Linked DNA regions of Oreochromis niloticus. The protein of the gene in region 2 interacts with the protein of the main gene of each other region in a biochemical or structural test. Links are inferred from orthologs where the notes say so. Each region holds a gene or a part of one and is shown on either strand. Other genes may lie near its edges. The genes, in order: irak4, irak1, E3 ubiquitin-protein ligase pellino homolog 1 and irf7.

What was found.
Region 1: of the proteins of irak1 (region 2) and irak4, one has a biochemical effect on the other in vitro, tested with the Homo sapiens proteins (2 studies listed by BioGRID). The link is inferred for Oreochromis niloticus from reciprocal best matches to the Homo sapiens genes IRAK1 and IRAK4.
Region 3: of the proteins of irak1 (region 2) and E3 ubiquitin-protein ligase pellino homolog 1, one has a biochemical effect on the other in vitro, tested with the Homo sapiens proteins (5 studies listed by BioGRID and IntAct, with this or other methods). The link is inferred for Oreochromis niloticus from reciprocal best matches to the Homo sapiens genes IRAK1 and PELI1.
Region 4: the proteins of irak1 (region 2) and irf7 form a complex in vitro, tested with the Homo sapiens proteins (2 studies listed by BioGRID, with this or other methods). The link is inferred for Oreochromis niloticus from reciprocal best matches to the Homo sapiens genes IRAK1 and IRF7.

The regions. Positions count from the first base shown.
Region 1 is NC_031972.2:47,515,522-47,523,341, forward strand, and holds the start of irak4 (interleukin-1 receptor-associated kinase 4), read right to left. Parts: upstream 3,093-7,820; 5' UTR 2,866-3,092; coding exon 2,705-2,865; intron 2,603-2,704; coding exon 2,457-2,602; intron 2,121-2,456; coding exon 1,971-2,120; intron 1,523-1,970; coding exon 1,362-1,522; intron 1,283-1,361; coding exon 1,218-1,282; intron 1,124-1,217; coding exon 1,009-1,123; intron 908-1,008; coding exon 798-907; intron 307-797; coding exon 120-306; intron 1-119.
Region 2 is NC_031984.2:5,048,985-5,056,619, forward strand, and holds the start of irak1 (interleukin-1 receptor-associated kinase 1), read left to right. Parts: upstream 1-4,581; 5' UTR 4,582-4,822; coding exon 4,823-4,934; intron 4,935-7,635.
Region 3 is NC_031971.2:1,157,776-1,165,790, reverse strand, and holds the start of E3 ubiquitin-protein ligase pellino homolog 1, read left to right. Parts: upstream 1-4,903; 5' UTR 4,904-5,129; intron 5,130-8,015. Other genes in the region: uncharacterized protein LOC109202627, read left to right, coding at 1-147. UniProt on the Homo sapiens protein: E3 ubiquitin ligase catalyzing the covalent attachment of ubiquitin moieties onto substrate proteins. Involved in the TLR and IL-1 signaling pathways via interaction with the complex containing IRAK kinases and TRAF6.
Region 4 is NC_031972.2:58,805,132-58,812,668, reverse strand, and holds the start of irf7 (interferon regulatory factor 7), read right to left. Parts: upstream 3,002-7,537; 5' UTR 2,877-3,001; coding exon 2,812-2,876; intron 2,616-2,811; coding exon 2,462-2,615; intron 1,890-2,461; coding exon 1,718-1,889; intron 1,625-1,717; coding exon 1,524-1,624; intron 1,417-1,523; coding exon 1,365-1,416; intron 1,281-1,364; coding exon 1,164-1,280; intron 1,053-1,163; coding exon 853-1,052; intron 607-852; coding exon 405-606; intron 1-404.

The DNA.
Region 1 (7,820 bases), on a different chromosome or scaffold from region 2:
TTGGGAGAACCTTGGAGTCAAGGAAAGTGCTGAGTACTGCTCTACATTTTACATTACAGCTGCAGTTTCTCCAGCCCTATCTGTGTGTATCTGTGTGTGTGTGTCTGAAGAAAGCCTACCACTCCAAAACTGAAGACATCGGATTTTGGTGTGATCTCTCCTCTTAGCGCCTCCGGTGCCATGTACGCACGGGTACCCACGATCCTCTCAGTCATCATGGTCGTCGATGTTCGCTTGGCCGATGCTCTCGTCAGACCAAAGTCTGAGATTTTGGCCACAAATTGTTCATCTAACAGAATGTTCGCACTAACAGGGAAGAAATACGAGCCAGAGTGAGCAACAAAACATCCCGTCATGTGTCATGTAAAATGTATATTTCTACATTTAGGGAAATGTGATTTTACTGGCTTCCTTGCCAAGAGTTAAACTAAAACATCAATACCTCTTGCATGATTTTGCTCATGAGCCTCTATAAAACTCACTAAATTACCAAACTCTACCTTTCGTGCCCAACCTGTACTGTTGCATTACTAATTACTCATGATCTTCATGATCTTCACCTTTTTCTAATTTTTATTTAGCTCTAAAGAGAACCTTGTCATATGATCTGCAGAAAACCATATGGGTAAGCTTTCTCTACATCCCCAGTCTTTTTTTGGTTCTTTGTCTAACACAGTAATGTGATGTAATGTGTATAGTGTTCCATAAAGGTACGGGACATCAAAAACGGGACATTTTCTCTCTTCTTTGTGGGATATCTCTAAACCAATAACGATGAAAGCTTTCGCTCTATGAACCTTTTAACATCTCTGTGGACGTGATGGTTGGAGTGCAGATACTCCAAACCTTTGGCTGTTCCTTCTGCTATCAAGCACCTGTGGTGCCAGGAAAGTGGAGGACTTCCTTCCTAAATGAACAAAAAAAAAAAAAGCATGTAATTAAATCCCTTTCTGAAAGCACTGGGACTGAAAAGCAGACTGTTTGTGTAGAAGAGTAAATAATGCTTACAAAGCAAGCCAGTCGGTCTAATAAAGATCCATTGGCCATGAAAGCGTACACTAAACACAGGTGCTGTTCGTCACAGGAAAATCCAACCATGTCAACCAAGTTCTCGTGTTTCAACCTGTGGAACAAATGCTGTTATTAAACCACACCTGCATTTGTAAATACACGTATGTTAAATATGCTTCTTCACCTTCTTCCTGAGGGAAACTTACACTTTCAGAGTCTGGATCTCTTGGTTGAACTGATCTTGCAACTTGTCCAGTGGCATGTCGTCCACCTAAATAATACAATATCTCAAATGCAATTAACAGCAGTACACAGAGGCATGTGGTTCTGTTAAAAATATTTTCACTTACTGGATTGAGTTTTTTCACTGCAACTGGTTTGTCATCCAGGAGACCTTTGTATACCGTCCCAAAGCCTCCCTCTCCAATTCGGCTGCCACCAGCTGACGTGGACCGGTCATCAAAGTTGCCTGTGATCCTCATCAGGTCACTATATAAGAAACTGGAGAAGCCTAAGGGGGGAGACGCAGTAAACTGCCTCATTAACTTCTCTGATCAAGAGCCCGATGCTGCCACCTGCTGTCGATTACATAAAATCACATCTTTACAAAGAAGCAGCATCACTTACTGAAATCAAAATATCATCTTTGTTGACTACCCTAAACCACTATAGAGCAGCTTTGTTTACAGTGCTCTAATGTAATCAAGTAGATTTATTGCACTACTTTAGTGCTGCAGTGGCAAATTTACATGGTGCTGAGAAAGATATGACATTTTAATTCACTGAAACCAGGCTTTTCAGCAGATAATGAAAGATGAACATTATCTACTTAAAAACATCACATGAATATGACTCATAAGTGACTGTGTTAATAAATGTCATACGTGTCATATGTTCAATGTCATATGTTCAATCAAGATATGAACATAAAATTAATACATAATCAAAAAGTGAAAGACCTGTGTGTATTGGTTCGGTGTTCTCCTCTGGCGTCCGAAGCTGCAGCACAGTGGTGACAGGCTGCTGCACATCTCTCTCTTCCAGCAGTCTGGTTGAAGCAGTGCTTCGGGTTTTTAAAGGAGTCAGCTGTGTCTCCAATGGACTGGACTCTTCAAATGTGTGAGGACAAAAACAAAAAATGATCAGAATAAATGATTGGGTTTTACATCCTGTATCAGTGCGGTTTGACTGTTTCCCCTTATGTTCCAGGCATCACACCTTTAATATAACATAACAGATGTTTACTCATCCACTACCCAAAAAGTTCAGAAGTTTTTTGCTACATCTCTTATTGCAATTTCATAACTCGTGGTTAACATCTTATTTTCTTACAAGAATTAAAAAAAGGGGGGATACTGGGAAAACGATTTGGGGTAAGTTAAGATTCAAAGGTTTATTCTACCTGTTGCGTGTGGTTACTATTTAATGGCTTTTAAAAGTCATACCGGGTAGCAGAACATTGGCAGCAGCCAGTAACTCGTGACTCTTCAAAATGTCCACAAGTTCACCCACTGTGCTCTTGGTGGTCCCCCAGTCATTGAGCAGCTCCATTGTGGGACTGCGACCCTGTGCAACAAGACCCTCAAATCTCCTTAAAAGACAGCGGCACATATTCAGTAAACAATAAGTAAACAATCAGTGTGATTTCATTCAGTGAAAAGCAAGCACGTCAGAAAGTTTGCCCCCATCTTACCTGACATGAAGCTGGGAATACCTCGGCTCCCCGCTCGGTTTCTGTATATCTACAAGAACTTCTTTCCACCTGTCCTGAGGATCCAAAAAATCGGACAACTTGCGACGTAAACAATAACCGAGGTTACGAATATAAGTAGCGGAAGTTACTGAACTATCCATTCTGCGGGGAACTTGTGACCAAACCCGAGATTGGGTTTTATCTAACAGTCATGTTGTCATGATCTTAGACCTGAAGACGTTAATTATACTCCATCGAGTGGATTCTTTAATCCAGAAAAATCGCAAACAGTTATGTTTTGCTCACATACCTAAAAAAACAGTGTTTTCCGATATTGAGCAACTTCCCCAAACGTAACCAGCAGGGCTGGCCCACAAAAGGTCTCCGCCTACAAAGCGGAAACGCAAAGAGTGAGTGCTGTGGTATAATACAGTCTGTGCTGGCTGTTCTTACCTGTAAGCGGGCACAACAAACTAACAATAAACCTCCGTGTGTTTATTTATATAATTATCTTTTTGGTAACACAAGAGCACAAGAGCAGAAAGGGAGACAGCTGTCGTGTGATGGTGGTTTACAGTGTCACAGTGCCCTCTAGTGGATAATGGAAATAAAGCAAATCTTCCATTCGGGGCTGTTTGTGTATGGCTAGTGCTGTTGCCTTCCAGCAAGAACACCCTGGGTTTGAGTCCACCACTCGGCTGGGCCTTTCCTGTGTTGAGTTTGCATGGTGTCTGCGTGGGTGCTCTGCCTTCCAGAGACATGCAGTTAGTGGTGCCCGTTGGTGTGAATGGTTGCCTGTTTTAGTCCTGCGTCAGGTTGGCGAGCTGCTCAGGGTGTAAACTGTCTCTCACCCAAATGATATCTGGGATAGGCAGAAAAGGATGGATGGAATGAATAACAGAGAGACCTTAGAACTGTGATTGAATTCATAATAATTGCTGCGTATATCAAATATTATAATACTTGTATGCATATAATTTAAATGCACAAAAACAGAAGAAAATAGAAAATAGTTCCCTTAACATCTTCTCAATCTCGATCTTCATCTTCTCTTATTAAACTCTAGGTTTAACGCATGCATTCATTTGGAAATGTGATCATATAGCTATATAAGTAAGTATTATGAAAAAACAAACACACATCTTTTTTGTACCTATTTGTGTATGGTGAATACATGATTTAAACACTCAACTGGACATTTATGAACTACTATGTTGCTACATCAACACACAATGTAAACCAAAGGGTGTCATTTTTGCAGGATGTTAGGTATCGATCAGCCTATCCATCACCCATAAGGCACTTTTTTTTTCACTGGTGTTTAAATCACAGTCACAGTCCAGCACAGACACCCCCCCCCCGCCCCCACCCCACCCCAAATAAACTCCCCAAATGTGTTGCAGGACAAACTGATTTTTTTTTCTTGGAAACTTTAAAACTACATCAAGGCGGTGACCTCGATCGAGCCATCTCATGTCAAACAAATTTGGCAAACAGCTGGAGGCATTTGGTCTAAACTGCTTGGAGTACCTTTTTTGTTGTTTCTGTGTTACAAAAAAGCTGGATCTGTTTATGGTGTGTTAGTTGCTATTTGCACTGTATTTGATGAACTGTGATCAGTTCCATGTGCAAATGGAAGGCTTAGCTGTATTACTGGATGGGATGGATTACTGGGTGGAGTGATGAAGTGCAAGATGCGTGTGTGAGAGACATAAATTTCAGACAAAAAACCCACACACAAGATTAAAACTTTTTTTGCATCAGAAAAGTCTTACAATAGCATGTTTTAAATGCTAATATGAACAAGTGAAATTAAAATCCATTTGATATTTATTGAGCTATTAACATCAGCTCAACCCATCAAACAAACCATCCACAGAGACCTGCTGCTAGCACTGTGCACACACCAAACTGCATCAAAGCAAAAATTCAAGTGTGCTTGAGTTTTGATCTTATTTGATATTAAACTTTCAGTCATGCATGGGCACAGTTCTCACTCCTTCTCTGAACGATTGTTCTTACATTAAAAAATATTGCGTTCAACTTTTGTTTATTAAATTATATTCAAATGCAAACTTCAAAAATGTCATCTCAATCTACCCAAAGTCATCCAACACCTATTTTAAGTAAGACATAAATAATGTTTGTATGTAAGGCTATTACTTTTAGCATGGAGCTTGTGAAACCAGTGACCCCGAGCACATGGCCATCACTGCACCAACAGACTGAACTCACAACACACGCTAACACAATTCTTGAATGCTGCATGTGATTTTGATGAGTCCCGATGATGACAAGCAACATTTGCATGATTTTACACAGTTGCGAGTCATTTCACTATGTCTCTGTGAAAGGAGCATACAAGAGATGATCTAAGCAGAGAGAGCCAACTGTAACCCACAGGCCTGTTATGATTATATTTTTATAGGCTTGGCTGATGACACCACGAGTGATACTCTCAATAAAAGTTAGTGACTCATAAACTTAAAAACAACTTCTATGACAATGCATACAGATGGTCTGCATTACATGAAAAGGAGACTTCACCACATAAATAACCAAAGTGCAATTAAGTTATTTTGTGAAGGAAAAGCAATGAGAGCCATTACTGCAATTGTGGTGCCCAAAAGTGTGTATTCTCTTTATGCTTGAGGTTTGATGCCATCTTTTGCAAATACATAATACATGAGACCAACTGGAGCTCGTCAGAAGTTGTTTATTATTAAATGACAGGTGAGGACATTTGAGTACCTCTGCATAATGACATGGGACTTCATTAGAGCAATTGTATGTTGTTAGTAGGAGTTGGAGTGTATCTGTACCTGTCTTCTTTCTGTGTATGTGTGCTAACCTGGGGTGCGAACACAAGCCAGCGGTGCCCAAGAGATCATCAAAGAAGACGCTTGTTTGACGAGGACCTGAGCTGCCGAGAGCTCAGGTAAATTCCCTGTGTGTGCTCCTGGTGAAGGATAGCTCTCACACCTGTGCGCAGGAGATTCTTTGAAGTGCCTGATCATCTCGTGCCTCCTCTAACCCGACTGACAGGATCCAAACACTGCATGCACGCATCACACGCAGAGGCAGGGAGTGAAGCCAGAGCCTCTGCTCTCCTGTGGCGAGTGGAAGGATGAAGGGAGAAGAAAATAAAGAGAGCTGGAAAGGGAGAGTCTGACGCTAAAGATGAGGAGAAGTATAAAAGTTCAAAAAACAACAACAACACAAAAAAGGAAAACTAACAGCCAGCACAGGGGAGAAGGCTCTCGATAATTAGAGTGCAGAGGGAAAGAGATGGAGAAGAGGATCTGATAGAAGCGAAGGAGAGGTGGAGATGTGAGGGAGAGCAGAAAGCGAGGTCCCCTGTAGTTTGGGAACAAGGGCAGAGGTGGTAGACGTGCCAAAGTGGCTTAAATCAGCGGGTGGAAACGCTGCAGGTGCAGGAAGTGATCTGAGGAAGTCATGTGATATCTAGGAAACTTTAATGGTAAACAAGGACACATGAAATGAGAAGCTGTGCTAGCCACGGATGCTATATGGTCCGTTGTGATTGCATAACAGGCAGAATTACGTCTATTTCCCAAATGACCTTGATGGTGATGGGGTTACATGTGGGATATTTTTTTTGCAGCAGACGTTATTGTTTCATAGCTTTTAGGAGTCTGGAAAACTCTTATTAACTGTTCAACTTAATAAGTTGAACAGTTAAAATTGTTAAAATTATTGAAATGTTTTGGAAAAAATTTTGAGAAATTTCACCCTCAGAATAGCAGATGTAGCCTTTATATAATAAAAAAAAAAATCCCATTAGAATATTATTTTCAAAGGACTGTGATATAGTTCAAAACTAAAGCAGATAGGGAATAACAATAAAACACAATAACAGGGGACATAAAAGGCACAATTCTCAAATAATAATGAGTATTTTTTTTAAAACCATTAAAACCATTTGGTGCTTGTTGCAAATGATCCAATATACAAATATACCATTTTAAAACATGTGTTCAGCATTATGCATCACAACTGTACCACAGTGAAAATGTGTGTTTTATTAAGAGGGAATGTGTTTTTAAAATTTTGCAAGTAACGTGAATAAAATCTGCAAATTTCAAAAAATTAAAATCAGTTGTATAGTTAAATTTTAATGCATGTCTGGAACACATGATGGAACACGTTGGAACAGGAAGGGGCCGTCCCAAAACTGTTCCCACAAAGTTGGGAGCATGAAATAGTTCAAAATATCTCAGTATGCTGAAGCATTAAGAGTTCATTTAACTGGAACTAAGGTGCCGACCCATTTCCTGAAAAACACCTAATGTCCCCTTTCACCACACTTCACACTTGGAAAGTGTAGCCAGATAAGCATGGTTCTCCTGGCAACCTATGAACTTAGACTGATTCATCAGATTGCCAGATGGAAAAGTGGGATTTGTCACTCCAGAGAACATGTCTCTACTCCTCTAGAGTCCAGTGTCTCAGGGTGCTTTACATGACAACATCCAGTGCTTTGCATTGTCCTTGGTGATGTAAGGCTTGGAAACAGCTGATTGGCCATGAAAACTCATACCATGAAGCTCTCTATGCACTGTTCTTGAGCTGATCTGAAGGCCACATGAAGTTTGGAGGTCTGTAACGACTGACTGTGCAGACATTTGGTGACCTCTGCACACTATGTACCTCAGCATCTGCTGATCCTGCTCTGTGATTTCATGTGTCCTGCCACTTCACGGCTGAGTTGCTGCTGTTACCATTAAGTTCCACTTTACTATAGTACCACTATAACTGTGGAATGTTTAACAGCGAGGAAATTTCACAACTGGCATTCTATCACGGTACCATACTGGAATTCCCTGAGCTCCTGAGAGTGACCCATTCTTTCACAAATGTTTGTAGAAGCAGTCTGCATGCCTGGCTGCTTGACTATATATACCTGTGCCCATGGAAGTGATTGAAACACCTGAACTGAATAATTTGGAAGAGTGAACGAATCCTTTTGGCGGTATAGGAGTTTTTGCACCTCAAAGGAAAGCTGCAACACAATTGTGGCAATGATCGAATGTACACTGACAGAACCAGAGGGCAAGTTTGGAAGTAAATGGAGATGCTATGATGCTATGATGAC
Region 2 (7,635 bases):
GGCCTTAGCCTTAGAGATGACATCTGGTGGGAGCTTGGAGTAGAGCTGCTACCTTAAAGTTGAAAGGAGCCAGCAGAGATGGTTTGGGGATCTGATGAGGATGCCTGTCAGACATGGGCTGGAAGTAGAACCCAGGGGACACACTGTGGAGATGATATATGTCTTATCTGGGCCAACGATTGTCTTGGAATGACTCTAGAGTAACTGGAAAACTTGCTGGGGAAAAGACTGTCTTGAATACCCTGTTGCTGTCACAGTGACCCATCTTAACCCTTTATTTAAAAATGAAGTGAAACTTGTTAAGAGTAAAAGTTTTTTGGAGGCTTGTTTAGCACATATTAAAACCAGATTACCTGCAGAAGAGCAAAACACAAACACAATGCCCCCACAATCTGGCCGCACTGTGGGTAGACCCACACAGTCCATTACTGGCAGCCCACTGTAGCAAGTACTAGCATAAAATGAGGGCACACCTGGACCCCACTGTGGGTCTGCAGCATACCCTCGGTGTGGACCCAGGTGTGTCCCACATTTTAGATTGAGACCCTGTGGGCTGACTACCCGGCCACCACAATCCAGGGCACATTACCACCAGCAACTGGTATGGAGCGTGACTCTTAATTTTTCAATGAATATAAAACAAATCAAATTTTAGCCGCTTCCTTAAGTGTAATTTATGTCCTGGAATTGTGTCAGTCTGCATACACATTTCCGTTTGAACTGAGAGGGGTTTTCACTCACCACAGATGTGCTTCTGTGCAGTCCTCCAAAATCTCCACTATCCGTAGGTGGTGGGTCTGCCAAATCCTGATTGGTTGATAAGTGGGCTGGAACAGGGAAGAGAGCAACAGCGGAGTTCACCAGGAACTGGAGACGCACAAAGCAAACACTGAAGCTCAAAAATAAAGCAAAAATAATAAAAAGTGTCCACTGCAGACACTTTTTATTATTTTTAAAAGTGGATTTCATTTCAGCTCTTTGTAACTTTGCCCTTTTCCTGGGCTGGCTGACGGACCAACAACAGCTGACGGACCAACAACAGCTGACGGACCAACAAAGAGTGAAAGTGACCCACAGGCCAGCTGTACCACATATTTTGTATGCTTCCTCTATCTACAACAGAGTGTGCTGTAGGTAGACGGGCCATCCCCGAGCTGCCAGCGGCCTGTGAACGCATTCCCTCTGCTGAGCCATAAATTCCACTTCATTCACATGTAGTTTGACCTATCAGCGTCGACAAAAACAAGTGATATAAAGGTATAAATCAGTACAGTTCCAGCCATTAACAATTGTGAAGCTGTTTTGGAAACTACTAAACAACTTATAACCAATCCCCATCCCAAGGTCCGACCCAATAAGATACTTAAAATTAGGCAAGTCCAGTTGTTTTCAAGGAATTAAAGTAAATAATAAAAGACTGCCACATCTGTAAAAACTTACAGGCGTTCCCTCTGAGTGTGAATTTGATTTTTTTCCAGTTTTTATAAAAAAAAACACTTAACATCTTTCAGCCAAAGTGATGTAGCTGCAGGATGAAGAGCTTTCAAGGACAGCAAAATTCTACAGTGCACCAACAGTGACTGTATGTATGAATGAATGTAAACCACTACAGTGTGGATCCGCTTCCCCTCAAAGGGGTGAAAAAACCCAACAACAATAAACTCAAATCCTATCAAACAAATAAGCTGACTTGAATATATTGAAAATTGGATATTCTCTGATATCTTTTACTTCTTGCCTGTGCGGGCCTACACTGGATAAACAACAGTTTTGCCTGTTGGGGTCCGTCTGTGGGTTTTCTGTGGGCAAACACACTATGGGTTGACCCACAGAAAACCGTCATGGGGGCCCTGTGGGCTAAAACTACCGTGGCACCCGTACAGGATGACCACAGGGGAGCCAATGAGCGTTTTTCGTGGGCAAGCCAACTGTGCAACGTCATCCATTTTATGTAGTATAACATGAAACTAGTGGTCAAGCCCATAAAGTCAATGAAACCATTCACTGAGGTCACAGAGCGGGGAATCTTAGGGACATTTTTTTCACCATGTGCTTCCACTTGAGTCGCCCCCTGGTGGTAATTATGAACATTGCATTTTTGGCCAATTGTCTTTAACATGGACAATATCAGAGTCAGAAAGGAGGAAAATCCAGGGTATTGTCACTGACTAATGACCCCGTGGTGTGCTCACTTTCACAGTCATATCCACGCCTCACACGTCATGTCCAGTTTCAAAACACTAAGTTGGCAAAAACAATCTGTTTGGCTTTCAACAGTGGGTGGCGTAATGGTGGCACATTTTTTAGTCTTTTTTACCAATCTGTCAAAGAGGTAACTCAGAGAGCCAGACAACCGTTCATGCTCACGATCACACAGTCAGTTTAGAATCACCAGTTAACCTAACTCAATGCATGTCTTTGGGCTGTGGGAGGAAGCCGGAGCACCCGCAGAGAACCCGTACATACATGGGGAGGACAAGCAAACTCCACACAGAAAAGCCCCAGACTGAATTCAAACCCACGACCTTCCTGCAGTGAGGCAGCAGTGGACTGAAATGACAATTATGTAGTAGAGCAGGACCTCAGCATTGGAGGGGACCCACAAAAATTAATTTGTGCTAATTTTTAGAATTTGTCTCAATATCCTTTAGGTTGAGTAGTTTATAGAAAGTATCTTTAAAAAACAATCAAGCAAAAGCCTCAGATATGAGAGCCCAGCTGCACAGGGTGACCGTGAGTCCCAGTGATCTTCATGCAGTCTCATACCTGACGGATTATTAATCTGATGACAAAACCAGATTCTTAAACTTGGAATTTTTTCAAATATCTCCACTGAGGTCAGCAAAACTACCGAGCTTCTCTGTTTTTCGCCGAGACGTGACTCAGTCCTTCGGTTTACACGGTTCTACTTCATGCTGTTATTCTAGCTGTATGTGGTATTAATAATAACAGTTTGCTGTTGTTAATCCTTTGATACAAACAAACTGAACTGAGCTAATGAAGCATTCAGGCGTTTCATTCAACCACTTACATTCAAATAAATAAGGTGAGAAAAAGGAAGTGTGAAACGTGTGTGTGTGTGTGTGTGTGTGTGTGTGTATGTGTGTGTGTGATGTAATGCAATGCAATGCTTCACATTTGTCATAGTTAAGACAGGAAAATGACTCATTTTAGTCAAAGCCACGAGGAAATACTCACTTAGGACTTCCTGTAATGAGATGAAAGTCATATGTAGATACACAAACGAGGTCTTTACAGACATCAGTCCTGCAGGATGTAAAACAAGTATAAAATGTTGTAAGCATAAAAATTAATATAAAATAAGTTAAAATATGATGAAATCTCTTAATATATTACAATAAAGTGTCTCTTTCAGGTGACATAGCTCAATGCATTGCAGGAAACATTAATTGCATTAACATTAATTAACATTAATTGCAATGTGAAAAGGACATTTTATAACTGTAATACATCTACATGTTTTCAAAACTGTTAGTATTTGGATTCCATCACAGCAATCTCAGCACTGACCAAAATAACTGTGATTGAAATCAAGCAGCTCTAGTTCTAATAATATCCTATTTTCCGACTGATAGTTAAAAACCAACAACAACAATCTGGAGTTTGTCATGCAGGAAATTATATTTAACCAGGAAACGGTTACAGTGGAGAAGCTGACACTTTGCATGTAAGAACGACCGGTCTGATGTAATACACTGATACAAATCATGGTATAGAGAAGAGTAATACTTGGATTTTCTGGTTATTTTTGGTGATTTAATAATGAAAAGTACATTTTATGCTTGAGTAATTATCATTAACCCCCCCAAACAATGAATTTAAATTATTTTTGAATTTTGACTGTGCTTCATAAATAAAAATAATACATATAAACAATATAAATAAATTGGAAATTCGGCCAAGCAAAGACTCCAATCTGGCCCCACTGGACAGCTTTTGAAAATGTGAAGGAATACATTTACTTTTAGCTGCATTTTTCTATGTTTTACAGCTTTATTTTCCACAGATAAAGACCTCTCCCATGGTCATTAATGCTAAACCAAACTAATCAGGGAGTGATAAGAAACGTTCCTGTTTTTACTGCTACAGAAATGTCTGTTTGTTATAAAGGATGCACAATTTAAAGTGTCATTTTCTGCGAATTAACAAAAGCTTTCTATATTATTTCAGGATAGTCAATAAACTACCCAAACTTTTTTTTCCAGTAATTTTATAACTTTATGTCTTACAATTTAAACCCAGAGTCATGCTGACAGATTTTTTTCATTTGCCACGACAGCTTTTCTTTGTCATGTAGAAAAACTGAGATGTGCTTTTTTCTGTCCGTCCTGTCTTCTTTTCCTATTCCTATTCCTATTAAGACATCTCGAGGATTAAATGTGTAATTAAACTGATTTAAACTGTCAGAAAGGGAAATTTCACTGGTTTGGTCCACTTCTGATCAAATGGGGGTGTATGGGGCTCACGAGGTAAAACATTTGTTTAAAAAAAAAGAAGTGAAAAGTGAAGAAAAAAGTTTTAAAACGGTTCATTTACTCGGGCTTTTATTTTGGTAGCACGGAGCGGAAGCAGCTAGCTTATTTCAGGCGGAAGCGCTGGAAGACTCAAACCTGTAGTTTGAGAGAGTTTTTGAAGTGGTTGAATAGATTCGTTCCGGGCGGTTCTGATGTGACCCAGTGATCCAGGTCCTTGTGTGAACCTGATACCCTACAGACCGCCCAGAGTTCCTCGCAGTGGTCGCTGTCATCGGTTAGCCTGTTAGCTTCAGCGTGGATTAACTTGTAGAAGGAGTTAGGTAAAGATGTCGGGAAGAGACCCGAGGGCCGTATTGTACTTCAACCTGCCCGCCTCCGTTGACTGTGAGTTCTGCCGCATCATGGACGGGCTGTCAAACCAGGACTGGACCCGCTTTGGTGAGTCAGAACCCGAACATTGACTGAGAGCTAAAGGCCAGCAGCGTGGGGTAGGAGGGACGGTGGAGCCCACCGTTAATTGGGTGTTTCATCAAAATAAACTCTAGCGTGTTTATTCGATGTAACAACTTTCAACTTTAACCGCTGTCGTATGAAATCACTACAGAAAATAAGAATTAAACAAGCTGTGAGAGCCTCAGCTGTGATTCATCCTTCTCGGTCTGCCCTCAGGTACAGGGCTTACCTGTCCCATCTATTTCCACAGAGTTTTAAAATATATAATAATATTAATAAAATATTATTTTAGCGTGAGTGTCAGCTGAGATTAAATCAGGTACAGTTTTCTTCCAATATCAGGTCACATTTTGACTAGAGTTAGTCTAAATATAGATACATTCACCGGTGTCTGTTTTGAGGAAGTCTCTGGTAGACGTTATCTGTAAGTGCACTTGGTTAATATTGAGTAAATACGGAGCACAGGAATGTGACAGAAACTGAAATGCCTGTGTTCTGACACATAATGAAATGTGATTAGGAACAGTTTGAGGTTTCTCAAAAAATCCAGAATGTTTCTGTTTTACTGTAACCTCTCTTAACTAAGGTTGTGTGGGGTTTATTTGACTAAAAATTAGGTAGAGCTCTGTTATGTTGGTGTACTTCATTGAGTTCAGGTGGCTTGAAAAATCTTAAGTTTTCTTAGAATGAAATACACTTTTAAAGTTTTACATTGTATAAGTAGCATTTGGCGATGGTGGGGAGGAAGACCTCTGCCAGTCTTTTCTACTTAAATATAACTTAAGTTTTACAGAAAAAACGACAAAGGCACAGACTTATATTTGAGCATTAGAGAACATTCACAGCTGTCAAAGTGGAACAGTGAAAAGAAATACTAGAGCAGTTAGAGGTGGGAGAAAAGGTTTAGATGTAGGGCTCAGAAACTGTATACAGATGATGGAGCCAGGGATTGTGATGTTATTTTGAAGCCTCACCTTTTAGTGTCTGTGAAGGTTCTCAGTCATCCAGGTCATCGTAGTCAAAGGAGTTTGCAAAGAAAAGCGTCTGGACTTCTTTGAGTTGCTTGAAGATGTTTCACCTCTCATCCGAGAAGCTTCTTCAGTTCTAAGGTCAAATGGCCGAGAGTCCCAGATTTTTCTTTGCAAACTCCTCACCTTTTAGTGTTTTGGCCCCCTGCACCTCTCCTCTGATATCACCATCAGTTCGAATTTGCATCACACTCGCAGCCATCGGAGGCAGCTACTTGTGATCCCTGAGACATCCCTCCATTGTGGCTTATCCTGGTCAGTATAAGCCACAATGGCGACTCTTTATCGAATTACCTCAAGTGGCTATTTAAGGAAAATCAGTTTTTGATACTCGTTTTTGTTTTAACCATGAAGGTTGGCTTGTTGTAGCTCAAAAAAAAAGAGACAAAGTACCACTAATGTGGACTGTTCCAGCTCATATTTTTTGCTGTTGCTGGTAATTTCATTTTTGCCCTGCTGTGGAGACGGCAGAACAAGCACTTCTTTGAAATGAAATGAAACCAGTTGTTAGAACAATAAATTGCCATCGCCTGTACTTTTCCTGTTTGCTTCTTTAGTCTATGTTGGGGTTTTTTGCACCTCTTCCTCCTTGTGGTAAACTCTGGTCATTTTTTTCTGTTTTCAAACTGAAAAGCGTCAGGCCCAGTTGTGTATCCCACCCACATCAGGTGATGGAGTTGTGGTTTGCGGCGGACAGCACGTGCGCTGGTTATGTCCTTGAAATCTCTCAGACAAACTCTAATGCAACACTGTAGCACTGAAGCATGAGTCACAAGTGTTAAGCAACAGATAAAGATGTTAAAAAAATATATAAGGGCAAATGTTGCGCGCTAAATAAGACAAATAACATCACATGCATCAACATGCAGTATGTGTTGTTCAGTAAGTATTTGGAGTAATTTTTATTTTCGTGTTCTCGCCTCTGTACACTTCCACGGTGAAATTTTAAAACAATCATCAAGATGTGGTTCTGGTGCAGACTTTCAGCTTTAATTCGAGCACTTTAAAAAAAGAACCGCGCTAGCTTTCTAGGAGTTACAGCCATTTTTACCCCTCAGCTGTAAAAGGCTGATGGGAATTGTCATTGCCAGGCGGGTGGCGTGGACACCCAAGTTTATGAAAACAATAACTTGAGAACAAGGCAACGTAGGGTTTTCTAATTGATACCATGAGTCCATCTACTAAAAATCTTAGACAAGCTTGAATCTCAGTGACCTCAACCTCAAGGTCAAGGCCAGAGGTCAAGTTTTCTTTAATCATTGCATTCACAAGATTTTCAGAATGAAGTCATCTAGGATTTTCAAATTGATACCATAGGTGCATGCTAGTGATTCCTGAATATCTCTACCTTGCGAAGAGCCAAAACAAATCCTCTTTTTCCTCACTTCTTCTGGAACGCCCTAATTTCCAAGTTCCGACATCTGGATTCAGAGGTATCTGGAATGCAGCATCATGCACAGTTTTAGAGGCTCAAAAGTGATTGGACAATTAACTTGGAAGCCATGTCTTGGCTAAGGGAAGCCTGTTCCTTTGTTATTTCATGACAAACTAAGACAATAAAAGATGTTGATTCAGAGTGTTGAAATTTGCATTAACTCTCAAAAAGAGGCACAAAGAGGTGTTGATATTAATGAGGGAAGCATTATTAGGCTGACAAA
Region 3 (8,015 bases), on a different chromosome or scaffold from region 2:
TTTGTGTTCAAGGAAAATGATGAGGCATCTTTCCCACGCAAGGATGTGCTGAAGAAGCTACCTCAACCTCAACAGGCTGGAGGAACTGCAAGGAGGGAGCAACAGTTCATATTCCCCTGCAACCTTGATCATTGGAATATTGAATAGTTCTTTTGAATAAATGGTTTTGAACTGGTGGTTTGTTTAGAAACCACCAGTTTCCAGGTTTGTTCTCACAGGTTTACAACTGTTAAAATGGTTTGTTTTCACAATATGATCAGTTTTACATTTTAAAAACTACATGGTCAGTTTGCCCCAAGATGGCTCAGTTTACCCACTGACTAGGTTCAATTTACCCCTAATCTGGGGCAAGTTGAGCCAAAGGAGCATTTTTTTTTAATAGGTCATTATTTTGGGCAGCGTCATCAGACATAGATTCTGATCATTACATTTGAAAGGAGACATCCTGAAATAAAGGAATATGTTATCATTCTATTTCTGTGTCATTTTTTTCTCACATCCAGGGCAACATGAGTAAAAAGTGGCTCATCTTACCTCACTCTCCCCTAACCCTCTCGTAAACCCTGTTCACCGAAGTCTATTTACCAACATACGTTAAGATATTACACATAAAAAAAAAAACACACGGAAACATTGGAAATCAGTTTTTGGCAGGCGAACACTTTTTGGCACGACACCTGTCCGCGCTAGGGGCTGAACCATTTGTTAATGATGGAGGGGTGGGGGATAACACTATGCAATATATTTAGTTTTAGAATTTATATTTAGTGTTAACTGTAGTTAATGTTATCTTATTTTAATAAACAACACTGTCATATGCAAAACTAGGGTGGCAAGACATCATTTTTGTGTGGCACATGCCACCCCATGCCGCAGGGTTTGTACTCAACTATCTGAGACTGGCTGTGAGTCATCGACCTGCATCTTTAATAAGCATTAACGTCACATCTCCACATGTTGTCTTATCACGTTATTCTACCGTATTTCTTAATCTACGGCAAGGAACATAATACATGTTCAACGGATTAAAGCATATTGGTGTTTTTAAAAACAACTGCCTGACTAAAGACTCAAACCGTGAAACTTCAGAGGATGGAACATTAAAGTGATATTAACTTTAAATAAATATATATGTGTCTCGTTATTCTAGCGACGGAAGTTGTGTTTGAGTTTAATTAATCCAAATTTTAATTGTTTCGATGAATTTAAATTTACCCAGCAAGTTGAACGACGAGTAAATGATACATTAAGTAATAAAAAGTACACGTGTTCCGATTCTTTATGCGATATAAACCACACCGACAATTAACATCCAAACGCCATAAGCAAGCTAATAAAAACAAAGCACTCGAGTCTGAGCTGACCTGCGAGTCGAAAAACGTCTTCTTCTGGTTATCCCTGGATGAATGAATGAAAACGCGGTCAAGAAGCTGGGTGTGGGAAAACATGTGCCGCCAAAAGCGTTAGAACAAGGAAATGCGGAAACATGATGTGTCGGAACTGAAGAATCATATTGTCGCATTATGACTTGAAACGTCGAATTAGTTCGAGTGCTTCCCCCGCTTCCAACCCACTCAAGGATTGTGCTAATTAGTCTAAGGATTGTAACATGCAGTCCTATTAAGCATTCTCATTAAGTTCTTCTTCTTTTAACGAGAACTTGGCAGAGATGATGAGCCCCTTAGATTGGTGAGAAACCAGAAGATACAAATATGGAATGACATTTAGGTTATAACAAATGCGCGAGCAAAATAATAATAATAATAATAATGATCTGAGCAAATAATTTCATTTCACAGGCGCAATTAAATTCCTCGCGCCTAAATTCAACAACGTATGAAGTTATGTGGAGGCGGAGCCCAAAGTAGGACGGGGTCCTTATGTGATTGCTTACTTTGATGGACACTTTCGGTTTTTGGCTTAATCTGAGTTACTCTTATACAGCAAAAGAAGCGCTGTTTTAAACCGTACTTGTTTACAATTTGAAAAATAAAGTTTGCCAAATTAATTATCAACAGTTATTGCTTGCTGTGCAGCAGTGGAAATACACATAACTGTCACTGGATTACTTTAATGCTGAAGAACCAGAGGCATGTTTTATAGGATCTGCAGTGCTGTCCCATTAATCTGCTGTACAGTATTGCACAGCTTCTATGATTTAAAAAAAGAACTCATAACGAGGACCAGGAAAGGAAGAGTGCATCAGAATCTGGCAATTATACATTTGGCCAAAATCCAGACAGTTAAACCAGCCAGTAGAAAGTTGCTCAGTCTGCATCAACAGTGAATTTTGGAGGTGGGAACATGATGGTGTGTGTCTGTTTTTCAGCATATGGTACTGGCACACTTCAAATAATTGAAGGAAGGATGAATGGAAAAACGTACCAAAACATTCTTGATAAAAATCTGCTGCCAGATGATGCCATGGTGCATTTCTTTCAAGTTCATCCCAAAATGTGTTATATTTTTAAAGGAAGTACTGTCAAGAGAAATTGAACCACACACTTGAGTTGGTTAGAAATATGGTGTAGTATAATATTATATAATAAGCTCAAGTCATTCATATCCAGTTATTTACAAAGCAATAGCTATTATTCATTTCCTACTCCTGCATGAGGTTTTTGTAATCAAAGAAAACATCAGTCATGCTATCCTTATGTGATTTTCACAGCACCACAATGTTTTAAGGATGCTTAAAAAGAGCAAAAGAAATAAAAATGTTATTACAATTATCTGTCAGTTGTTTAAATAGAAGTGGAAAAAGCAGAAGAAGACAAAAGTAAAGATCAAAGCTGCTAATGACACCCACCACAGTCATGTCATCAGTGAACTTGATGATGTGGTTCTAACTGTGCATTGCTGCACAGTCGTGAGTCAGCAGAGTGAACAGCAGTGGGCTGAGCACACAGCCCTGAGGGGCTCCAGTGCTCAGTGTGGTGGTGTTGAGATGCTGTTACCGATCTGGACTGTCTGAGGTCTCGCCGTCAGAAAGTCCAGGAGTGGGGGTGGACTTCCTCACCAACACATCATTCTGAGCGTCAAACCGTGGATAGAAGTTGTTCAGTGCATCTGGTAGGGAGGCGTCACCCTGGCAGGCAGGTGTCGTCTTTCTGTAGTTGGTGATGGCATGGATGCCGTGCCACATGCGCTGCATGTTGCCAGGTTGAGTTGAGCATATAGCATATAAAAATGTATAGCATATAAAATTCATATCTAAAGATTATCAGCCTTGTCTTCAATCAGATGATTTAGACCTTGACAGGCTGAACTGTGACGTCAGAGTTTAATCTTCCTCCATAGACTAAACATTGAATTCAGTCTCCTGCAATTCAGTGTTTAGTCTACACAGTGGCACACTGCAGTTAGTAATGTCTGACATGACTGTTAGTGTATGCTATTGTTCCCGTTGTTTGGGAAACGCTTTCCACCTTGGGATCCTAAATACAAATAAAAGAAAAGGCTGTAAAAATCAGATCAAATACTCTCAGTAAAGGAACATGACTCATTTTCCAGGAACTAAGATCACTTCAAAGTTGGACAGTGCTCTTCTTCCATTACCAGCACAGCATAGCGTTTTACCTTAACCGGAAATAACGCTTCTAGGCAAGAGCCTTGTTACAGCTGTTCTGTTTATCCAGTACTTGTTATTTTTGTCTGTTGTCTGTCTCTATGTGTTAGCCTGCCTCAAACTGGCATAAGAAAATAGACGGATCGATGTTTTACGTATAATATCTGATTTAAATTGTGTTGTGACATGACTGGAAAAAATACCAAAAAAAAAAAAAAAAAAAAAAAAAATCAACACTATTTACATAAAAAAAACTACCAAGCTAACTTTTTGAAGTACATTTAGGAACAGGATGAAGCTTGGACCTCTACATCTTTGGGGACGGTTAATCAAAATGAACCAGTTGGTAACTCACTCTTGTCTTTCAAAAGTCTGAGCAGCAGCCTAATGTACCAAAATGCATAACAGACACGTCGGGGTTTAAACAGACATTATTAACATTTTACATACATATTATCCGCCTAGCTTACTCATTTCCGGCGATTAAGGACCCTGGAATGTACTTGACACGTATTTTGCTCACTACCGACTTCTTGGCTTTAAATATATTATCTCATGCGCAGGATGTTTTATGCTTGTGTGCTGTCATCTGTGCTATGTGGTTTACATTCTTCTATAGTTACATTTCCTGTCTTTCATATTTATATTTTAATTGATTGTTACTAAACCATTGCCCCCAGGATTAATAAGTATTCAGATTCTGATTCAGATTTTGATTTGAATTTAGCTGAAAGACCTAATGTGAGGAAACTTTTGACTAACTAAAGAGAATGTCTTATTGGGGTAACAGCTGCAGCAAGTCATAAACTTAGGTTTATGACAATCATAGTTGTTTGTGCACGGCTACACACGCAGACCACAGAGAAAACTGGAAGTACAGGTTTTGTATTTTCATAGTAAAACAAGTGTTAATGGTGCAAACATTTCAGCATCTCAAATAACCATGTTCTCTTAATTAACTATGAGGAAAAACTAAAAACTAAAAGTAGACATGAAAATCATTTTAGTTAACTAAAATAAAAATAAAAACTGGAAAAAAAAATCTATGCGTTAGCCCTGCGACAGTCTGGCGAACTGTTCAGGGTGTACCCCGCTTCTTGCCTAAGAGAGCTGGAATAGCAACCCTTAATAACAGAATGGATGGATGGAAAAAAACTGAATCAATTTAATAAACTTAGAAAACTAAAGAAATGTATATGTATATGTAATTTCGAGTTTATAAGACAAACTAATGGCATTTACTTCAGCTTGAAAACAATTTGGTATTTGAGTAAGTATTGAGTATTTTGGTATTCAAGTAAGTTACGTTGTTTTACTCTGAAATGTGAACCGGAAATCAGTAGCCTTGATAGCTAAGAGGCACAGTTGAGTTTGAAAACGGAGAAGCCAGCGTTCGCTCAGTGTGGGTTTGTTAGGAACTATATCGATAAAACGTCGCCGAACACCTGGTAAAAACTGAAGTAACTTTGACATTTTATGGTCTGAAACGGCTAACAGCGTTTGTTCCCTGGAACAAAGACATCCGGGACATTCGACTGCTTTAAGACGAACAGTAACTTCGGTGAGTTAATTGTCTAAGGAGTTGATTCTTTTCGTCATTGTTACCGCCACTAACGCCGACTAAGTCTTCTGCAGTCAGTGTTAACCTTATGCTAAATAAGTACCTAATGAACTAACACATTCTCTCCTTTTTCTCAAGTTTTACGATCGAAAAATGCTAACTAGCTACGAGTTACCGTAATGACGTTATATAGGGCAACAACAGTGTACCCAATTTCTTAAGCCATTCAAGGTTTAGGTTTAGGTGTAAGCGCTAAATAACCATATACGCGTTTTTTTTTTTCACTGACAAAATCCCAAACACAAGTTTTTTGGGGGGGTTTCTCGTGAAAATGTGTGAGTTTGGGTTAACGTAAATCAAATTTTATCGACGCTTTTTTATGGTCGTATATGGTATTAAATTTCGTAATAAATTACGGTGACACGTCTTTTTCGTAGTGACTTGTAAAGTGGAGTTGTTCTATGCATGTCATAAACGACTCTGAAGTGTCTGCAGACTCCAGTTACATAGCTTCTTTTCTTTAATAGTGTGTCGTACTGATTTGTCCACAATAGAGTGGCCACAAATAGAACTCCAGATATTTAATTAAAATGTACACACAACACTGCTATATTCTACAGCTCATTGAATTCAGGATTTGAAGTTATTATTTACATCAGGTAAAAAAGGTAGTGTGTGTATATTTAGTGTCTTAAACAGGGCTCTGTCCGTGGTGGTACTCCGTCCTGTCCTGTAGCCCAGCTGGCCTCCTTTGTCCTGGCCACACAGACTGATTAGCATTCACCATCCTACCAGAGCATCTGTCTCCACAGACACTGCTTTTGTTCCCCATTTAAATTTTGAAACTTTGTCCTTTTTGTCCATCTGTCCCCTCATATTAAAAGCCTACAGATGTGTCAGCCCATCTTCAAAGACGAATGTTGATCTAAAGCCTGGAAAGTTTTGAGTTCTAGGTGAGAGTTGCACAAGAGGATAAACAGAAGTGATGCTTACAGTTTACGTAAATTGAGATATTTTATTATCAGAATATCACCATTTATAGCTGATTTACATACTTTAACGTTTCTGTGGCTATTGTTCAAACTGGTATTCACAAACAAAAGAGCAGAAAAATTATGATATTAATCCTGAGGACGAATCTGTGAGAGAACTCTGAAATGCTAAGGATGGTAGTTGTCCCAACTTTGTCGCCAGAGAGCCAATCAACACCCAGATAATGAAACAGAAAAGCCATGTCTTTGACTTTCTACCACTAGAGTGAGGAGATCTCTGAAAATGTTGACTTTATTTTTGGCCAGTCCCCACTTTTTCACACCCCTCTTAGGTATATGCAGAACATGCCTGCTCGTGTTCTGGAGGCACCTCTGCGGTATGTGTGTGGAGTGGGAGGTATTTCTTCTTCAGAGGTTATGTGGAATCATCACAGGGTGTTATAGGTCTTGTACCTTGTAGCTGGTCTGGTTTGGTAAAAATCCAACACCTCCGCCCTCCTGTTATTTCTTTAACATTATTGTACATCAGAGCTTATCCTGTTGTGTCCATCTTTTGCTAACTAACTTGTATAGTACCCACAAGTCTTGGCTGACATTTCCTTTGAGCTTTAGGTTAGGATAACTTAATCTTTCATTTCAGCTCAATAATAGTTACAGATCTCAGAGTTTTAGAAATACTGGTTGGATGTTTCTTTCTGAATTTTAACATAGATCTATATCTTCAACTTTTTTCCAAGTAAACTCATAATTTTCTAGCATAGTTCAAAATTTCAAATAGATTTATTTTTAGAGTTTCATCATATACATGTAAGCCATAGAAGGGCTCCAACTCTCATAGCCATGATAGTTCTTTGCACTTTAGGATTGTCTTAATCCTAATAAAGGTTTTATCCCATGCTGGCATTCTGGCCTGGCTAAATAAGTGTGAGCCATCTGTGATTGGTGAATATTCTGCAGTTTTGTGGACTGTAAACACCTTACTTTCACAGTTCACAGTAATGAAACAATATAGTGGTCAGATAGAGGTACCCGTTTGTGTCAGGTGTTATTCTGTTGTCTTCTGTTTTTTTTCATAGTGGATAATGAAAAAAAGTGACTAACAGCTCAATGTACAGTGCTGTGGAAAAGTATTTTCCCTGTTTATGATGTCTTTCTTTTTTATTTTTGGACTTTTTGGCACATGATGTAAAATAATAAACAAAGATGGCATGAGAATTACAAATTGCAATTTGTAAATCATGATTTTATTTATTAATGGTCAGAGGGCCCGGTGGCGCCAGTGTTCGGCAGCCTCGCCTCTGTCAGTGCGCCCCAGGGTGGCTGTAGCTACAATGTAGCTTGCCATCACCAGTGTGTGAATGTGTGTGTGAATGGGTGGATGTCTGGATATGTAAAGCGCTTTGGGGTCCTTAGGGACTAGTAAGGCGCTATATAAATACAGGCCATTTACCATTTACCATTCAATGGGGGGAAAAAAGGCTGTTTAGACATACCTGGCCCGATTTGAAAATGAATTTCCCCCTGAACCTGCTGGTGTGGCACTTTTGACACCAAGAACTGCAAATGTTTGCATGGGTCTTTCACATCACTGTAGAGGAAGTGTTGTTAGTTCAAACCCAGTTGAAATGGAATGTTAACTTTCCAAAAAGTTCACCTTCTGCCTCCTCAGTCTACAGGGTATTTTCTGCTTTGGTTATCATTAAGATGTTTTTTTGGCAAATGTGACATGACCCTTTTGTACTTGTACTCTCCTATAGATTAGGGCTGTTCGATATAACGATATATATCGGATGACGATATAAAAACGTCGATCGTTTAATTTTACGCAATCGTTTGTTTTGTGGTGTCGCAAAATAAACTGTTTACGGCAATATTTTTTCATCGTTTTGATGGT
Region 4 (7,537 bases), on a different chromosome or scaffold from region 2:
CCCCTAATGATCCTCTACCTAATCACATGAGCCAAGGTGTGAAAATGGGTGTAGGTCACAATCAGCCAAGGTTTTGGGTGAACTCATTATGAAACATAGCCCCACCCTATCATGTGATTTCCAGAGGTCAGAAGGCCCAGGATGTGAGTGGGCATTAAGGCATCTGGGAAGGGATTTCAAAACTGGATTATGGATGGCAGACAGTTGGTGCCGTGAGCCACCACCTCTGTTTGAACAGGGCTTATGAGATGAAACGTCTTCAAGCAACTTAAAGAAGTCCAGACGCTTTTCTTTCCAAGCTCCTTAGACTATGATGACCTGGATGACTAAGAACCTTCACAGACATACTTCAGCAGTATATGGTGTATATACACATATATAAATGAGCAAACATCTACACCTACCATTCACAAACTTTTCAAAATTAAGGAGCTCCACCATGGTGTTTTGGGGAAGCTTTGCTGGCTCTGCATTAGCCAAACTAGGGTCACTGGTGCTGGCAAACACATGGCATCTGTCCTGCCTCCAGGCATAAATACCAGTTTCTTGCACTTCCAAGAATAGACCTCTCTGGATGCTATTAAGTATGCGGTTGGTGTATTCAATCTGGTAATAAGAAGGTTGTGGTGAGTAAAACATGAAAATGCCTCATCACACAGCAGTATACTGTACCTAAAAGTAGGGGTAAAATCCATCTATCGTATTCTAAAGTCAAATTTTATTTGTGACATACACAGTATCTCAGAATCTGTCAGCTTCATGCCTGAAGTAACATAATAAACATAATTTCTAGTGTCTGCTTGGATGGTACAACTGTGTAAAACATGCATCTAGCTAATGGTATGATTATACCTGTTTGTGGTCCAGCAGACCATCAGTGGAGGGGAAGCAGAGTTTGAATGCCTCATACCCAAGTGCCTCTGAGTTGTAGTGGAGCTGCAGTCGGGGAGTGTTCAAAGTCATCTTTACCATTTCTTTTTTCCTGTAGTGGATGGAGACCTCTAGGTCAAATAGCCCCGGCTGAGGTGAAGTGAGTACTGGTGCAGGAGTTACTGTACAAAACAAAACAGTTAATAGACAACAGATCCCTCCTTCTTGGGTAACTATGTACACATATTTTTAGTAAACCTTTCATCCAGGAAGAGAAATTTGTCTAAACATACCTCCATAACAGATTTGCTGCACTGGTAAAAGCTGTGGGTTGTTTTCGGCTGCTACAGGATAGCTTTCAGTTGCGGGTTGATTTTGCTGGCCATAGTTCTCTGTCCATGGTTGCTCCTCTGTTTTGACAGTAAAATCATTTTAAACTACAACTAACCTCCATTATAAACCACAGAAAACCAAATGCGATCCACAAACTTTACCTGTTGACTGGCTGCCAAGACCCAAGGCCATCAAATCGTTAACCAGATCATGCTGTTTATTGGGGAGAGGCAGTGAAACAGTTAATATTTAGAAGCACAAAGACAAGTGAGATTACACCAACTAAGAGAAGTGAAAGAGCGCTTTATGTGATACTGAACCTCATTTGCTGAAAGGAGGTACTCTGTGGAAGAGCTGTATATATCTGGTATAATGTCAGCGTCCTCCCAAGGGTCCCGTGTTGCCAGACCGTCTTGGTTTTCTTCAGGGAAAGATGAAAGATCAGCGTTATTTATGCATTCAAACTCGGAACGGTTTTACCCCAGAATCTCGGCTTAAGTGATGATTAGCTTACGTGCAGTGTTGATAATCTCATAGACTTTATGTGGGTCATCAGAATTCTTGGAGTTATCTTTTACCATCTTGAAGCGCACAGAGAGGTTGTTCAGAGCACAGCGGAAGTTGGTTTTCCACCTGGCTTTGTCATTAGGGAACTCATTAATTTTCCCACTTGCTACTGCCCAGGCCTATGGAGGAAATGCAGAGAGGTGTAAACATAATGACAGCCGGGTAGAAAATTCAAACTTACTATATATTTTATGAGATAATTACACACATTAGACTTCACATGCACCTCCTAATTGTTTCACACACTATTTGGATTTCACATCTAAACTGAAGTGGCTGTTTGTGAAAAATGAAGACACTTGGCTGAAATCTGTAGAATTCCTTTAATACTGGCACCGGCGTATAACTGTGCTCTAAGTATGAAAACAAGCTGTGGTTTTGCACATTAAATGTATCAAAAACATTAGTACAGGATTTCTTTGACTCAAGATCACTGACTCAAGTGTCACCACTAGAGATGATGCCATAACTGCCTCTGGGAACAGCTGCAACAAGCTAAACAACTCCAGCCTGATAGTAACAACAACTCAACAAAACTATTTTTGGAACTATTTAAAGCACACGCTTAGTTTGTAAGTCGCTTACTCATCAATGTAGTAGCTTATTATTTCAGTAAAAATGTCAACATAGTCATTTTAACCCTTTTATCTGATCGCACGGATAACAAAGGCTAATCTGGCAATAAACTTACCCGGAAGATTTTACTGTCCTCGTCACTGCAGTCTTTTCTGGAGTTGTGCTTCCACGGGACTCTGAACTTGTTTGGTTCAACATAGCACAGGCCAGCGTACTGGCCCGTTTCCACCTGCTTTAATAGCCAGCTGGAGAACTGAGGTTTGGGGAGGCTGACAGGAAACACGACAGCGACAACAACAAGCGTGAATAAATAGAGACGGCTTACGAGCGCACAAGGGAAATCTGAGAACATTCAAAAAGAAACTCCCAAAACTGGAAGCTGCAGATTTATTCTACAGCAATAAACCGCAGTACTATTAACTATTAAATGTGCAAGGGAGAAAAACAAGACGAGTTTCTTCTTACCTCTGCATTTCACCGATTCTCTGTAAAGCCGTCGGTCTGAATTTTCCGAACACGTCTTCTAACATTTATACTCCATTTATAAGTCCCTCCTTCAGAGGGTGGAAGTAACACCAGCGTGGGATTTTCGGGGCACGAGTGGCTGAGAGTGCTTGTTTCTTACACACCAATTACAAGACAGCCTCGCCGACCGGATGTAATGGGCGTATTAGTGGGTTTGTATAATGGAATTTCTTGCTGGAGATTACTGGGAGAGATCTGAAAGTCGCTGGCTGCGTGCCAAGCGAAATTTGTTTCCCTTGCGTCGGGAGCGCGCACTTTGCAGGGAGAAGGGATGTGTTTTTTTTTGTTTTTTTTTCTTTAATAGAAGAGAATATAACATAAACAGGTTTCGTGTCTACTGTGCAAATAGGCAACACAAACATAGAGCCCCAAATGCTTCACCGCCCTGCCTTATGTAGGTTTAAAGTAATCTTCTGACTGGAAGTAATCTAAACATTTTGGAGCGGCCCAGCCAGACCGTCAATATCCAATCTGATAGAGAATCTGTGCAGTGAGCCGGAGATTATGGTGATGACAAGGAAGCCTTGCAGCCTGGATGAATGAAAAATGTCAAAATACCGACTTCTTGTTTGAATAAAAAACACTTTAAATGTATATCCATTCGGCCATTATTCAATCATGTGGTCTATCTGGGGGAAGGGGGGATTTCTGTGTTTTAGCTACAGAAATCTGTTTTATAAAAACAAATAGACAATTGACAATTGTTTTCAGTCATGTGCTCAGCAGACATAACCTTTGGCGATGTGCAAAAATCCGAGCAAATAGTATTTTTATAGGACGTCTGAAAACGACCAGAGCCGTTTACTTGTTGAGAAATTGGTATCTTGAGCGTTAAAGATTCTCCTCCTATTCTCTTATCTCTTAATAATCCGTAATGATGTATCAATGTCTGTTGTAACCAAATTGACGGTAATGTAACAAAACCCATCTTTCACTTTTACACAAAACTAAAACATCACTACTTCCGCGTCTGGTTGTTTGGAATTTGAGCCAGGGTCAACCGCATACGCTCTCCCTGCTCAGTGCGCGCTCCCGACGCGGGGAAACACATTAGGACGGGAGTAACTACCCGTCGTAATGTGTTTCGTCGTAATGCGTACTACTTCAGTACGACGTCGGCCTTTTTTAGGCTATTTCGTCACTCCGTCAGAATCATTACATCATCCCATAGGCTTACTGTCCCATAGTTAAATGCTTACTCGAAGAGTTTTTTGCCCGCCGAAACTATGGGTCACGTTCAGTTATAGTGATCAGCTGGGAGTTTCACCAGTGTCACGAGAATTCACGAGCATCTGATTAAAAATATGCATCATTTAACGTGTTATTAATATATATATATCTATATATAGATATATATGTGTAGATAGATATGTTTACCACTGATATATATCTATCAGTGATATTTTGGAGAATTTTGAAGACTCTGTCCACATCACACACACCACCTTCATCTAATGAAAAAAATAGACAGTAACAGCCTTATAACCAGTGCTGGCATGTCCTCCATACCATTACACTACCAACAGCATCACCGCTAGCCTGAACTCTTGATACAAGGCAGGATGGAGCCATACTTCCATGTAGTTTAGGTCTAAAATTTTGACATTCATCTGAATGTCACAGCAGAAACTGAGACCCAACAGCAACATTTCCCCATCTTCTATTGTTCAATTTTGGTGAGCCTGTGGATATTGTAGCCTTGGTTTCCTGTTCTTAGCTGATAGCAGAAGACCTGTATCTGCTTCAAGGTATGAAGTGCTGTGCATTCATAGAGGCTCTTCTGCACACCTTGGTTGTAACGAGGGAGTTAATATTGCCTTCTTGTCAGCTTAAGGAAGTTTGGCCATTCTCCTCTTACCTTTGACACCAACAAGCCATTTTCACCCAGAGAACTGCCACTCACTAATTTTCTTATATTCTGGGCATATTCTGTAAGCCCTAGAGATGGTTGTGCATGAAAATTCCAGTAGAACAGCATTTTTGAAATATTTAGAACAGGCTGTTTGGCACCGATAAGTGTGACATGTTCAAAGTCACTGTAATCACCTTGCTTCTCCATTCTGATGCATGGTTTGGACTTCATCAGGCTGTCTTGATGTTTTCTGTTTGGACTGGATACTTGTGTTAGCAAACAGTTGAACAGGTGTACCTAAAAAAGTGGCTGGTAGTGTACATAGTATCAACAGTAGTAGGGTGATATTTGAAAACCTTATCAACACAAATTTAGCTTTACGGCAATTTTTATTGTATACCATGAACTTTAAACTGATCCAGTCTAGACTCTATACATCACTTCCATAGATTTATGAGTTATGCATTTCAGTGTTATGTAAATAATGCCAGTTTATTCAGTATGAAAAATCTGGTGTATTCAAAGATTTCTACACATATATGATGCTGAATAAATGCAGGTGTTGTTGTACATCCATTAATAATATGAAAACAGAGATATACAAATTACACTAGTACACACAGTATATTATATAACAGGGTGAATATTTTTATTACAGTGTGTCAGTACATCAAATAGCAATATATGTTAATCTTTTCTTTCACACCTATCATATGATTTAGGAACTGCTAAACATCTCTTAAGCAGTTTCGACTCAGATAATACCTGACATTTTTCTGATTTTCTGAATAGTCTGCATTATTGAATGGTTTCACCTTGTCTGTCCCGATGTACTTTTTTTTAAAAACTCTTGCTAAATGAGTCCCCCTTGAAACCACCAAGTTCCAGTGAGTTCAGAAAAATAAATCCACCAGTGAATACCCCACAGTGTGTATTAAAAGCAGTGTGTCTCTGTTTTTGAGACTTTCTGATTCAAAGTTCTGCAGGTGTTGTACAGACTTGTGTCATGTGGTAGAATCAGAAAGAATATTAATAACCTGACAGTGATACCGCTTTGGGGGTGTCTCAGCTGCATGCATTGTAGTCTGCATTATTGAAGAATAAACCTTTGTTGAGCTACTTGATCCAACCCAGGCATCATTTCCTCTTTCCACTGTTGTGTTTTCAGAATTTCTCTGTGCACGAAAGACTAACTGAAAGGTATTTTCTTCACCCTATCCTCCTAGGAACCCTTTCTACCTTTCACCCACAATCCCACCACAAAATGTCAGTTTCTCTGTGCGCTTTAGATACTTTTAATCTTCAGATTGCACAACCATGTTCTGACCACAGATTGGGTTACTGACGTTCTCACTTTTTAGGGAATATAGCTCTCAGAGCCAAGCATCTGTGTCAGGAATAAGGAAGTGATTCATGCTGTAGATGGATCACTTCTCTTTTCTTGCTCACTGAAAACTGTGCAGTCCTTGTAGTTGGACCTTGTAGAAAAAAACCCCCAAGGCTCAAAGAAGCTAATTAGGAATGATCTGGCTTTAATATTGACACACAACACAGATTGTCACATCCTATTTTGCTAGTTTATGCATAATTCAAGGGTAATATTTTGACTTGTCTGCAGAACACAACAGCAGATCATTCCCGCGTGTGAGAGATAACATACAAGCGACATAAGAAGCGCTCAGCTTGTCCTTGAAGGACAAACTTCTGTTAAGCAGGTGCATTTCAAGTCAGACTTCTTATATCTTTAAAGGGGATTTCTACTGGGAATTTTAAATATAGATTCTGCCCCCCCCCCCACACACACACACACCCACACACACATTCATCTCTCTGTTTTGCATTCACATTCTTTCTCTCTGTGTGCTATATCATCCCACATACACGCACATACTTTAACAGGGAGCAGTGCTGGCTTAACGTATTGTAAGTAAGGAAAAGAAACAGACTTGCGGGGGTGTTGATACACTGGAGTAAAATGGTTTGACTGAAAAAAAGAAAACCACCGCTTTCTCGTAAATAGACACGCCCTTACAGGTGAATGAGATTTCATCTGAAGCTGTAACATGGGTTGATATTCCAAGAAGATAGCCTTTGTTGATTCAAGATTTATTGATTTACTGGTAACGATGTTTGCCTTTATTGAGTTGCATTGTAGTATGCACACACAGAGTTCTGGCAATTGCAGTCCATACTTTTGTTTATTGCTTGTTTTAGGATCATTTATAGGATACCTCTTTTCCAGCCCTGTGTATCATTGTTGGTTAATTGATAATACTCGAATAATATGCTGTGATCAGGTGTGTCTTTTGGGCAGTTGTCCAGCCCAGTTACTGCCCTTTGAATGAGTGCCCTTTGAAACAGATTACATATTCTACAATTTTGCTCTAAGATGATTTCTAATATAATTTTTAATAATGTTTGATATGCCTAATCAGCACTATGTCAGGAAGTCAGTTTTCTGCTGAGCCAAGACTGACCTGCCCTGTAGGTTCCAAAGCATGTCTCAAAACAAAAGCAGTTTGTTCAAAACAGAAACTAAAATCCTGGAGGTGTGATGCAACATGTTTTTTTTTTTTTTTTTTTTAAACAATGTCTCAAAGCGAGAAGAAGCATACTGTGTGGATTATATGACTTCCCCTAAGGTGAGGTTACCAAGGTCCACAGATCAGTCGTGTCAGTGACCGTGCTGAATGAACTTATTCTTACAGATCGTTCACTCGGCGCCCTCTGCTGTTTTTACGGAGAGAAGCGAAACCTTGGCACCACACCGGGGTTTGCCATAGGCTACAAGACGCTATCCTTCGAGCTGGAAAA